2 linked regions of the Caenorhabditis elegans genome follow. The protein of the gene in region 1 purifies or fractionates together with the protein of each later gene. This does not show direct contact. Each region holds a gene or a part of one and is shown on either strand. Other genes may lie near its edges.

Region 1 (4,014 bases):
AGGTAGGATATCCATAGTTGATTCGTGAAAAAAACGTTATTTTCTTTCAGCACTTATCTGACAAATTGAACATTACTGGTTTCCAATCGGCTCCCATGGTCTCTACTAAGTAGCCATGTCATACAAATTTTCCTTTTCGTGATATTATTAATTTTATTTGCATCTCTTAAAATATCATCCTAAGTTTAGTGTGCATTTTCATTCATTTCATTTTTCTATTATGAACGTAATTTTATTGCTTTTCTTGGACCTTTTTTATACCTGAAGTAACATTGAAATAAGTGGACGGAAAATTTAAAGGGGTTTTTTAAAAACTTCTCAATTTCCACTAGTTTTAAAGTTTGACCATGAATGATTAACGGTGAGAAAATGTGATTTATGCAATTGAAAATCGAGAAGAAAAGTGAACAACTAGAAACTAGAAATGAACTCATCGGAAGAAAACAGTCACCGAAACTATATAAAAGCACTAAAAACTTAATTTCGTAAGAATTATTATAAATTTTTGCCAGTCAATGTTGCATAGAAAATTCGTGTCGTTTAAGCTCTTCCAATAGACTTCAGTACATCAGCAGAAGTTTTGAATGGCTGGACGATAGTTTCATCAATAGTGGCTCCGCGAATCTGAAAATGTGAACAATAATTGACGAAAAAATAATGAATGTTATTACTTACCTCTTGAGCTGGGGTGTTGTGATAAATATCGGCGTAGAGAGCTTCTGGTGGGAGAACACCGTCTGATGTAGCAATCTTCAACGCTTCATCGACCTCTTTGCGAACTTCCTTGTCAATAGCCTTAAGTTCTTCCTCTGTGGCCAATGAAGATGTAATGATACGGTCCTTGAATCCAGTAATTGGGTCTCTTGTTTTACGAACTTCTTGAATCTCTTCACGGGTACGGTAGCTGGTTCCTGGGTCAGACATAGAGTGTCCATGGTATCTATAGGTGGCCATTTCCATCATAAGTGGTCCTTTACCACTGTCACAATATTCCTTAGCCCACTTGGTAGCCTCGCGAACAGCGAGAATGTCCATACCATCAACCCAGATTCCAGGAACATAGTCTCCTCTAGTATAATACTCGGTAGAAGCAGATGAACGTTCAGCAGTAGTTCCCATTCCGAATCCATTGTTTTCGCAAACGAACAGAACAGGAAGATCCCAAAGTTTAGCCATGTTAGTCGCCTCGAAAAGTTGTCCTTGATTAGCGGCACCATCACCATACAAAGTAACACATACATTCTTTTGTTCACTGAAAATAAAATAAAATATTTAGATGAAAAAATATGAGTTGTTCTCGTAAAAAAATACATCAAAATTTGTTAACATACCGGTATTTCATGGCCAATGCAACTCCAGCTCCAAGTGGCTGTTGTGCTCCAACAATTCCGTTTCCTCCATAGAAATTCTTTGTGTACATATGCATGGATCCTCCTTTTCCGTGAACATTTCCGGCAACTCTACCGGTCAATTCAGCAAGAACCTCGGTTACGGTAGCTCCAAGAAGCCAGGTCCATCCGTGACAACGGTAAGCAGTGATGACGGCATCTCCTTCTGTCATTGCAGCCTTCATTCCGACGGCACAAGCTTCTTGACCAGAGTAGAGATGACAGAAACCGCGGATTTTCTTCTCCTTGTACAAGTTTCCAGCAGCAGACTCCATGCGACGAATGACCTGCATGTCACGGTAGTACTTGAGAGCATCTTCTCTGTTCAAGGTGACAGAGGTGTTTGGTCCATTGTCAAGTTTATGAAGTTTGCATGGCTTTGTGTGGAATGATACTTCCGTGCTCGCAAGACGAACTTGCTGTGTGCGGATTCCACTGGCAGTCAAGGATTGAAGTTGTCTCGCGAATAAAGACATTGCCGTCGACCAAATACGTTCCAGATGTACCAAGCTACTGAAAGCAGTAAATATATTTCAAAAATAAAAATTAATCGGATTTGGGATGACTGGGAACGTATAAATATTATAAGTTATTGACATGTAACAAATCACAAAACAATACGACACCGTTCGTTATAAACCTACAGAAATTTAGTCATTCCAGGTTCAAGGCTAAAATCAGAATATGTGAAGAAATTCACAAAGAATAAAAATATAAGTATGCGGATCGGAGACCGCAATAGAAGCCAAAATTTAGAAAATAAGTAAATTAGTATAAATTTATTCACATTCAAGGCACTACTCGTGTTTTTTAGGTTTGATGAAAGAGGGCAAGAATACCAACTTTAAGGAATCCATGCAGAAAATGAAACCGAAACCGAAAGATTAGACCATTGAGAGACCAGAAAAACTTATAAAATGAAAGGAACGCGTGAAATTTACAGACATTTTGCACATGTGCAATGGTCAAGTACAATAAATACAAAATTGGGTAACAATAGAATATGATAGAAAATTATTTCTTTGAATTTCTTTTCTGGCAAATCCATTCCTGAATCTTTGCCTTCAACTCAGAATCGGGAGAAAGCTCATTGTGCGACAAGGGAGCACGATTAAACGGATTATTGGGTGTACTGAGAAGATGCCTCTCGATGACTGCACGATCCATCACGTGTCCTGATGGCAATTTGACAGGATCAACCATAATTGCATCCATAATAGGATCCTTGAACTCTTCTGGTACATCATCATACTCTTCTTCAAGCTCAGCTTTTGCCTCATACTCTTTTTTAACATCTTCGGCCAAATGTTCGAAACTTTCGAGTTGACTGAATCCAACAATACTATTCTTTCTCATGCATTCAATCGCATTATGGAAGAATTCAGGACTGTAGGTACGCTGAAAAATAATTAAAATAAATCTCTTTGAATAAACAAATGTGTTAACCAACCTCGTCGTATGCTATGTATTTAACAAATGCAGGCATATTCAGCTTTAAATAGATTGAGATCAGCAACGATACAAACTCCCGTGGTTCCCATCCATAACTTCTTGGATCCTTGACTTTCAACTCGGAGGCCTTGCTACCAATGAGTTGCGATAAATTGTGATTCAACATTGCAGCAAGTCTTTCGCCGAGAACCGGAGTACGGAAAGGTTCGGGTGAGTTTACGGTAATCGATAGTAGCAATTTAAGATTACTTTTGGCTGTTCCAAGCCATCCCTTCACTTTACGTTTTGCCTCCTCGTACACGCCGAGATCCTGATTACGGATTTCTTGATCTGTGTTGTCCCATTCGACTTTGCTGAAAATAAAATTTATATTTTTAAGTTATCATTCGAAATAGTCTTACTTCGCCATCTTTTTCTCAACATCATGGATACTCTTCAAACCAGACAAGCTCTCATCTATACACCATGTTGCATCGTTAATCACCATATTGACAAACCGAATGAACTCTGCTCCGCATTCTCTTGCCATGTCCATAAACTTTCCTTTGTAGAACATATCTTCCTCCATTTTTTCCAACATGTACTGGATATTTCCACGAACGTTAAACTTTTCATAAAAGTCACCATTGTCTTCGAAATCCGAGTAGAACTTTATCATGCACATCAATAAATTTTCTTGTGCCATTCGAAGTCTGACCACGTTGAACCATAATGGAGGTTGAATAGAAGACAGCACTCTCACCAGTTTGGAAACGAGAAATGGGCTTTTGATGTAGTGATATTGTGTGAAAAGGACCGTCAGACGGGAAATCCAATCCGCATTTCTCTCCATGAGCAGTTTCATTCCATTGGAAATAGCGAATATGTAAAAATCGAGAGCATCCTCTAGAAAATATTCTGGGAGCGCACAAAACATTTGTGATACTTCAGTTGGAAGTTGACTGTCGTCTCCGAGCAAATCCAAGTTATCACAAAGCAAATTCAAAATGAATTTCATCTGCTTATCGACAAAATCCATAGAAGATGCCATTAATGCAGGATCTTGAGCTTGTGTCTTAACACATAAAAGATGACGAGACATGAGCTTCCAGTGTTCAGTCTCATAGTTCAACTTCTTTTCCACCTCAGCTCTCTCGAATCCTGACACAGTATTTAGTTTTTCTTTGAGCGCATT
Region 2 (7,335 bases), on another chromosome or scaffold:
TGGGTCTCGACGAACACAATTTTTCTCGTGGACGACTGAGTCATTTGCACATCCCACAATGGGTGTCCTTTCCTTTCCCTTCTTTCCTTAGTTTTTTGTACTAATTTTATGCGACCACAGCCAGATTTTTGAAAGAAGCGATCAATAATTTTTGTATTCTCATTTTTAATCATGCCGTAAATTTTCAGAAAATGGAATCGAAAACCAGTGCTGCAAAATCTACGGGAGCGATAGCCTCAGCACGAACCGAGGTAATAGCGCAGAATGTTACATGATTCAACTTTTCCATGATTAAATATCGTAATTCTGAAATTTTTTGGCATCTGAGATAAATGCACAAGCTGTTTTATTGAGTGGGTCTCGCCACAATCCAAATTCTACGGTTTTATTAGGATGTCAAAAAAAATTGTATTATTAATGTACAAACGAGAATCTCAACATTCGGATTAAAAACAACAGTTACATCTGAAAAATATCAATTTTTTCAGAATCTCAAAATCAACAAGACTTCCAGCATCGATACTACGGAAATGGTGACCGTCGAGGAAAAAGATGCATACGTAGGTTCTATTCAAAAATTAAAAACAGTGATACCTATGAAGATACTCCTTCAGATTTTTTTTGACGAATTGCCAATTGTTCATATGTGGGGAACTCAAAAATTCAAAAGCAAAAATATAAATGTTTATTAAATTTTTTTTCCCAGTAAATCAGTAAACTTTCAGGATGTTATGGTTGAACTCGCGGCGGCCTTTGGAGAAGAAAATGGTTTTGTTGAGAATTGCAAGTAAATTCAAATGAACCTCATTTAATACAATGTCAACGTGCCTGATATTTTAATATCCCGTTTTCCAATGATTTCTTTCACGACAATATTTATTTCAATTTTATAAAGCTGTCATGTGGTTATTTTTTCTTAATATAAACGCAAACATGAACGCCTTATTTCGTCCTGGCCATGTTTTGGAAAATTCAAAATTAGGTTAAAAAAACTTGTGGAAGTTGTCCTTTTTGTGAATGAAAACAATCACTTTTCAAATACATTTTTGTCAAAAGTTTCCTTAACATCAAAACTGCATCAAAGTTTGCACAATTTAAGAAGAATTGCAATGAGCCTAGTAAGTCATTTGATTAAAATGGTTGAAAAATTAGAAGGTAAGCATACAGGGAAAAAATTATAGGTGAAAGTTTTTAAAAGGTACTAAAATTGGGACATTTGCAAAACTGTCTACTGGGGACATATGTAACTTCAAATACTCTGGCTTTGTTTAGTTATCAAAGTCTTTATTTAGAGCCTTTGATACTATTTTTGAATTGAACTTTTTATTTCAACACAATCATTGGTTTCTCTCTACATAGTTATGTATCCTTAAACTACAGAAAAATTTTTAACTTCATTCAAGCAATCATTCAGAAAAACTTATAACGGTCACATATACGTCGACCACGATATGCACGTTGAATTAGAAGAGTGACAGCTGTACTCTGATCGCTACCTGAACGACATGCGCACTTCAGTTTCAACTGATAATGCGGTAAAAGTTCAGATTGACATTGACTTTATCGAATAAATCTGTTAAGATAGGATGATTTGAAGGAATAGTGTCAATTTCAGTTGCATCTATAAAAAGGGTAACGGAGAAGCCATAGTCACTCTCGCAATGAAGTCGATAATCATTGCCTCTCTTGTCGCCTTGGCGATTGCCGCCTCACCGGCTCTTGACCGTACCTTCTCTCCAAAGAGCGAATACGTCTACAAATTTGACGGACTTCTTCTCTCTGGACTCCCAACCGCATCTTCCGATGCTTCCCAAACCCTGATTTCTTGCCGTACCCGTCTTCAAGCTGTTGATGATCGTTACATTCATCTTCAATTGACTGATATTCAATACTCTGCTTCCCACATTCCACAATCTGAGCAATGGCCAAAGATCGAATCTTTGGAGCAACGTGAGCTTTCCGATGAGTTCAAGGAGCTTCTTGAGCTTCCATTCCGTGCTCAAATCAGAAATGGACTTATTTCTGAGATCCAATTCTCTTCCGAAGATGCCGAGTGGTCCAAGAACGCCAAAAGATCGATTCTCAATCTCTTCTCTCTCCGCAAGTCAGCTCCAGTTGATGAGATGAACCAAGATCAGAAAGATATGGAATCCGACAAGGATTCTCTTTTCTTCAATGTTCATGAAAAGACCATGGAAGGAGACTGCGAAGTCGCTTACACCATTGTTCAAGAGGGAGAGAAGACCATCTACACCAAATCTGTCAACTTCGACAAATGCATCACTCGCCCAGAGACTGCTTATGGTCTTCGTTTTGGATCTGAGTGCAAGGAATGCGAGAAGGAGGGGCAATTTGTTAAGCCACAAACTGTCTACACCTACACCTTCAAGAACGAGAAATTGCAAGAATCTGAGGTTCATTCCGTTTACACTTTGAATGTCAATGGACAAGAGGTCGTCAAGTCTGAGACTCGCGCCAAGGTCACTTTCGTCGAGGAGAGCAAGATCAACAGAGAGATCAAGAAGGTATTCTATTTGAAAATATATTTTACGGGCTTTTGATAGCTAACTCTAACAGCAGCACACAAGTTTTCAGGTTTCTGGACCAAAGGAGGAGATCGTCTACTCCATGGAAAACGAGAAGCTTATTGAGCAATTCTACCAACAAGGAGACAAGGCTGAGGTCAACCCATTCAAGGCTATCGAGATGGAGCAGAAGGTTGAGCAACTTCAAGAAATCTTCCGCCAAATTCAAGAGCACGAGCAGAACACCCCAGAAACTGTCCACCTTATTGCCCGCGCCGTCCGCATGTTCCGCATGTGCACCATCGAAGAACTCAAGAAGGTTCACACCACCATCTACACTAAGGCCGAGAAGAAGGTAACCAATACACATTTCATAATCACTAATATCATGCTCTCTCTTAGGTTCAACTTGTCATTGAAACCACATTGGCTGTCGCTGGAACCAAGAACACCATTCAACACTTGATTCATCACTTCGAGAAGAAGAGCATCACACCATTGAGAGCTGCTGAGCTTCTTAAATCTGTTCAAGAAACTCTTTACCCAAGTGAGCACATTGCTGATCTTCTTATCCAACTCGCCCAATCGCCACTCTCTGAGAAGTACGAACCACTCCGCCAATCTGCCTGGCTCGCCGCAGGATCTGTTGTTCGTGGATTTGCTTCAAAGACCCAAGACCTTCCATTGATCCGCCCAGCATCTAGACAAACCAAGGAAAAGTACGTTCGCGTCTTCATGCAACACTTCCGTAACGCTGACTCCACATACGAGAAGGTTCTTGCTCTTAAGACCCTTGGAAACGCCGGAATCGACCTCTCCGTCTATGAGCTTGTCCAGATTATCCAAGATCCACGTCAACCACTTTCCATCCGCACTGAGGCTGTAGATGCTCTTCGTCTTCTCAAGGACGTTATGCCACGCAAGATCCAGAAGGTTCTCCTTCCAGTCTACAAGAACCGCCAAAACAAGCCAGAGCTCCGTATGGCTGCTCTTTGGAGAATGATGCACACCATTCCAGAAGAACCAGTTCTTGCTCACATCGTTTCCCAAATGGAAAACGAATCCAACCAACACGTTGCTGCCTTCACCTACAACGTCCTCCGCCAATTCTACAAATCCACCAACCCATGCTACCAACAATTGGCTGTTCGTTGCTCTAAGATCCTTCTCTTCACCCGTTATCAACCACAAGAACAGATGCTCTCCACCTACTCCCAACTTCCACTTTTCAACTCTGAGTGGCTCTCCGGAGTTCAATTCGACTTCGCCACCATTTTCGAGAAGAACGCTTTCTTGCCAAAGGAAGTTCAAGCATCATTCGAAACCGTCTTCGGAGGAAACTGGAACAAATACTTCGCTCAAGTTGGATTCTCTCAACAGAACTTTGAGCAAGTCATCCTCAAGACCCTCGAAAAACTTTCTCTTTACGGAAAGCAATCTGATGAACTCCGTTCCCGTCGTGTCCAATCTGGAATCCAAATGCTTCAAGAGATTGTCAAGAAGATGAACATCCGTCCACGTGTCCAACAAACCGATTCTCAAAATGCTCACGCTGTTTTCTACCTTCGCTACAAGGAGATGGACTACATCGTTCTTCCAATTGACATGGAAACTATTGACACTCTTGTTGAGAAGTATGTCAGAAACGGAGAGTTTGACATCAAATCCCTCCTCACTTTCTTGACCAACGACTCCAAGTTCGAGCTTCACCGTGCTCTCTTCTTCTACGAGGCTGAACGCAGAATTCCAACAACCATTGGAATGCCACTCACCATTTCTGGAAAGATGCCAACTATCCTCTCTATCAACGGAAAGGTTTCAATTGAGCTCGAGAAGCTTGGAGCTCGTCTTGTTCTTGATATCGTTCCAACTGTTGCCACCACCCACGTCACTGAGATGCGCTTCTGGTATCCAGTCATTGAACAAGGAGTCAAGTCACTTCAATCTGCTCGTCTCCACACTCCATTGAGATTCGAATCAACTGTTGAATTGAAGAAGAACACTCTCGAAATCACTCACAAGTTTGTTGTCCCAGAGAACAAGAAGACCACTGTTTCCGTTCATACCCGCCCAGTTGCTTTCATCCGTGTTCCAAAGAACCAAGACTCTGAATATGTTGAGGCTGAAGAGAAGACTATTTCCCACTCACAATACCAAATGTCTACTGAAGAGATTGATCGTCAATATGAGACCTTTGGACTCAGAATCAATGCCCAAGGAAATGTTCTTTCCCAATGGACTCTTCCAATGGTTTTGATGACTGAACAAGATTTCGAGTACACTCTTGAAAACAAAAACCGTCCAGTTGAGTTCACAGCTCGCGTCACTATTGGAAACCTCGAGAAGACTGATCTTTCCGAGATCAAGTTCGACAAGATCTTCGAAAAAGAATTCGACCTTGAGAACAACGAATCTGAGAACCGCCGCCAATACTTCCACAAGATGATCCGTGAGATTCAATCTGAGCAAGGATTCAAGAACCTCATCACCCTCAAGCTTGAAGCCCCACAACAAATGTACTGGAACACTGAACTTCGTACCGTCTGTGACAAATGGATCCGTATGTGCAAGGTTGAGATGGATGCTCGCCGCTCTCCAATGGAGCACGAGAACAAAGAATGGACTCTTCGTACTGAGCTTCTTGCTGCCCGCCCACAAATGCCATCATCCCTCCGTCAACTCCGTGAGCAACCACACCGTGAGGTTCAACTCGCATTCAATGCCAAGTGGGGATCATCAAAGAAGAGCGAGATCACAGTCAATGCTCAACTCGAACAATCCACGGAACAAAAGAAGTTCATCCGCAACATCGAGCGTGAGTACAAGGGAATTCCAGAGTACGAACTTTTGATCAAGGCTGCTCGTCTTAACCAAGTCAATGTTGTCTCTGAGTACAAGCTCACCCCACAGTCTGAATACACTTTCTCCCGCATTTTCGACCTTATCAAGGCATACAACTTCTGGACTGTTTCTGAGAAGCGTGTCCAAAACGAGAATCGCCGCGTTGTTCTTCAACTTTCTGTTGAGCCACTTTCCCGCCAATACATGAACATGACCATCCAGACTCCAGAACAAGAAGTTGAGTTGAAGAATGTTCGTATTCCACGCGTCGTTCTCCCAACTATTGCTCGTAGTGCCATGTTCCAACAAACCTGGGAAAAGACCGGAGCCACCTGCAAGGTTGACCAATCTGAGGTTTCTACCTTTGACAACGTGATCTACCGCGCTCCACTCACCACCTGCTACTCTCTTGTTGCCAAGGATTGCTCTGAACAGCCAAGATTCGCTGTTCTTGCCAAGAAGATCAACAAGAACTCTGAGGAGCTTCTCGTTAAGGTTGTCCGCCGTGAGGAAGAAATTGTTGTGAAGAAGTCTGACGATAAGTTCCTTGTCAAGGTTGACGGAAAGAAGGTTAACCCAACTGAACTTGAACAATACAAGTAAGCTTTAACTCTAAATCACATGAATTTTTCTAATCTCGTTTTTCAGTATCGAAATTCTTGGAGATAACCTTATTGTTATTCGTCTTCCACAAGGAGAGGTTCGTTTCGATGGATACACTGTCAAGACCAACATGCCATCCGTTGCTTCACAAAACCAACTTTGCGGACTTTGCGGAAACAATGACGGTGAGAGAGACAATGAGTTCATGACCGCTGACAACTACGAAACTGAGGATGTTGAGGAATTCCACCGGTCTTACCTTCTCAAGAATGAGGTAATCAGATTTTTTCAATGAACTGAATGTAAATTTCATTTTCAGGAATGCGAAGTTGAGAACGACCGCATCTCCGAGAAGAAGAACTACAGAAACAAATGGAACAGAGAAGAGAAGAAGTCCGACTACGAGAGCAGCTCCGACTACGAGAGCAACTACGATGAGAAGGAAACTGAGAAGGGTTAGTCTAAGGCTGAATGATGTGTAGTTTTAACAAAATACATATTTTTCAGAACTCGTCAAGAAGACCCTCATCAAGGAGTTCTCCAACCGCGTCTGCTTCTCCATCGAGCCAGTCTCTGAGTGCCGCCGTGGACTCGAATCCGAGAAGACTTCCAACAAGAAGATCCGTTTCACTTGCATGCCACGCCACAGCAAGAACGCTCGTCGTTTCTTGAAGGAAGCTCGTGAGCAAACTGTTGCCGAGTTGGTCGATTTCCCAGTCTCCTTCGTTGAGTCTGTCAAGATCCCAACCGCCTGCGTTGCCTATTAGATTTCATATGTTTTATTAATTTTCTATTAAATAAAGCATTTTCACTAGAATGATTTTTTTTCTCATCACTTCTAGAAAACAAATACACATGTTGTAAGGATGTCAATCGAAACACAGCTTTGCACCAATAGTTTTTATTTACGCGTGTATTTAAGGCTTCGAAGGAGATGATAGTGCTTGCAGTAAACACGAAAATTAGTGATAATTATGAAAATCAATATAATTTTAAGGATACTTAGAGGGCAATCAAAAAGCTTCTCGACTTAAAAAGGTACATTCCAGAACTTGATATTCGAATCTTGTCCGGCCGACACAATTGTAGTTTCGTTGAGCCAAATTACCGAATTGACAGACGACATAGCATGAGCACCTATAAAAATGTTGTTAAATGTGTTAAATTAATAGAGAAATATTTACCTTTAATGATGATCGGATGATCAGATGGTTTGTTCATGTTCCATACAATAACGCTGTTATCCAAGGAACCGGTCGCCAAACGGACATTGTCCGGTGACCAGGAAACACATGCAACCTTGGCGGTATGGAAAGTCCAGGAGTTTGTGTGAGCTAGCTCGAAGTTGTTCGCAACAGAGTACGGG

Evidence for each region. The genes of interacting proteins can lie anywhere in the genome.
Region 2: the proteins of pdha-1 (region 1) and vit-5 purify together in Caenorhabditis elegans (affinity purification with mass spectrometry, with the first as the bait; one large-scale study listed by BioGRID). This does not show direct contact.

What each region holds. Positions count from the first base shown.
Region 1 is NC_003280.10:8,064,332-8,068,345, reverse strand, and holds pdha-1 (Pyruvate dehydrogenase E1 component subunit alpha), read right to left. Parts: upstream 2,060-4,014; 5' UTR 2,047-2,059; coding exon 2,033-2,046; intron 1,902-2,032; coding exon 1,332-1,901; intron 1,253-1,331; coding exon 676-1,252; intron 625-675; coding exon 541-624; downstream 1-540. Other genes in the region: gpcp-2 (Putative glycerophosphocholine phosphodiesterase GPCPD1 homolog 2), read left to right, coding at 1-2, 51-113; Ubiquitin conjugation factor E4 ufd-2, read right to left, coding at 2,403-2,786, 2,839-3,193, 3,242-4,014. UniProt on the Caenorhabditis elegans protein: The pyruvate dehydrogenase complex catalyzes the overall conversion of pyruvate to acetyl-CoA and CO(2).
Region 2 is NC_003284.9:3,401,820-3,409,154, forward strand, and holds vit-5 (Vitellogenin-5), read left to right. Parts: upstream 1-1,651; 5' UTR 1,652-1,661; coding exon 1,662-2,525; intron 2,526-2,595; coding exon 2,596-2,880; intron 2,881-2,927; coding exon 2,928-5,965; intron 5,966-6,014; coding exon 6,015-6,243; intron 6,244-6,288; coding exon 6,289-6,424; intron 6,425-6,476; coding exon 6,477-6,736; 3' UTR 6,737-6,784; downstream 6,785-7,335. Other genes in the region: C04F6.9 (Gag-pol polyprotein), read left to right, coding at 192-251, 489-560, 726-791; unc-78 (Actin-interacting protein 1), read right to left, coding at 7,000-7,106, 7,154-7,335. UniProt on the Caenorhabditis elegans protein: Precursor of the egg-yolk proteins that are sources of nutrients during embryonic development. Together with other vitellogenins, may play a role in modulating life-span, acting via induction of autophagy and lysosomal lipolysis.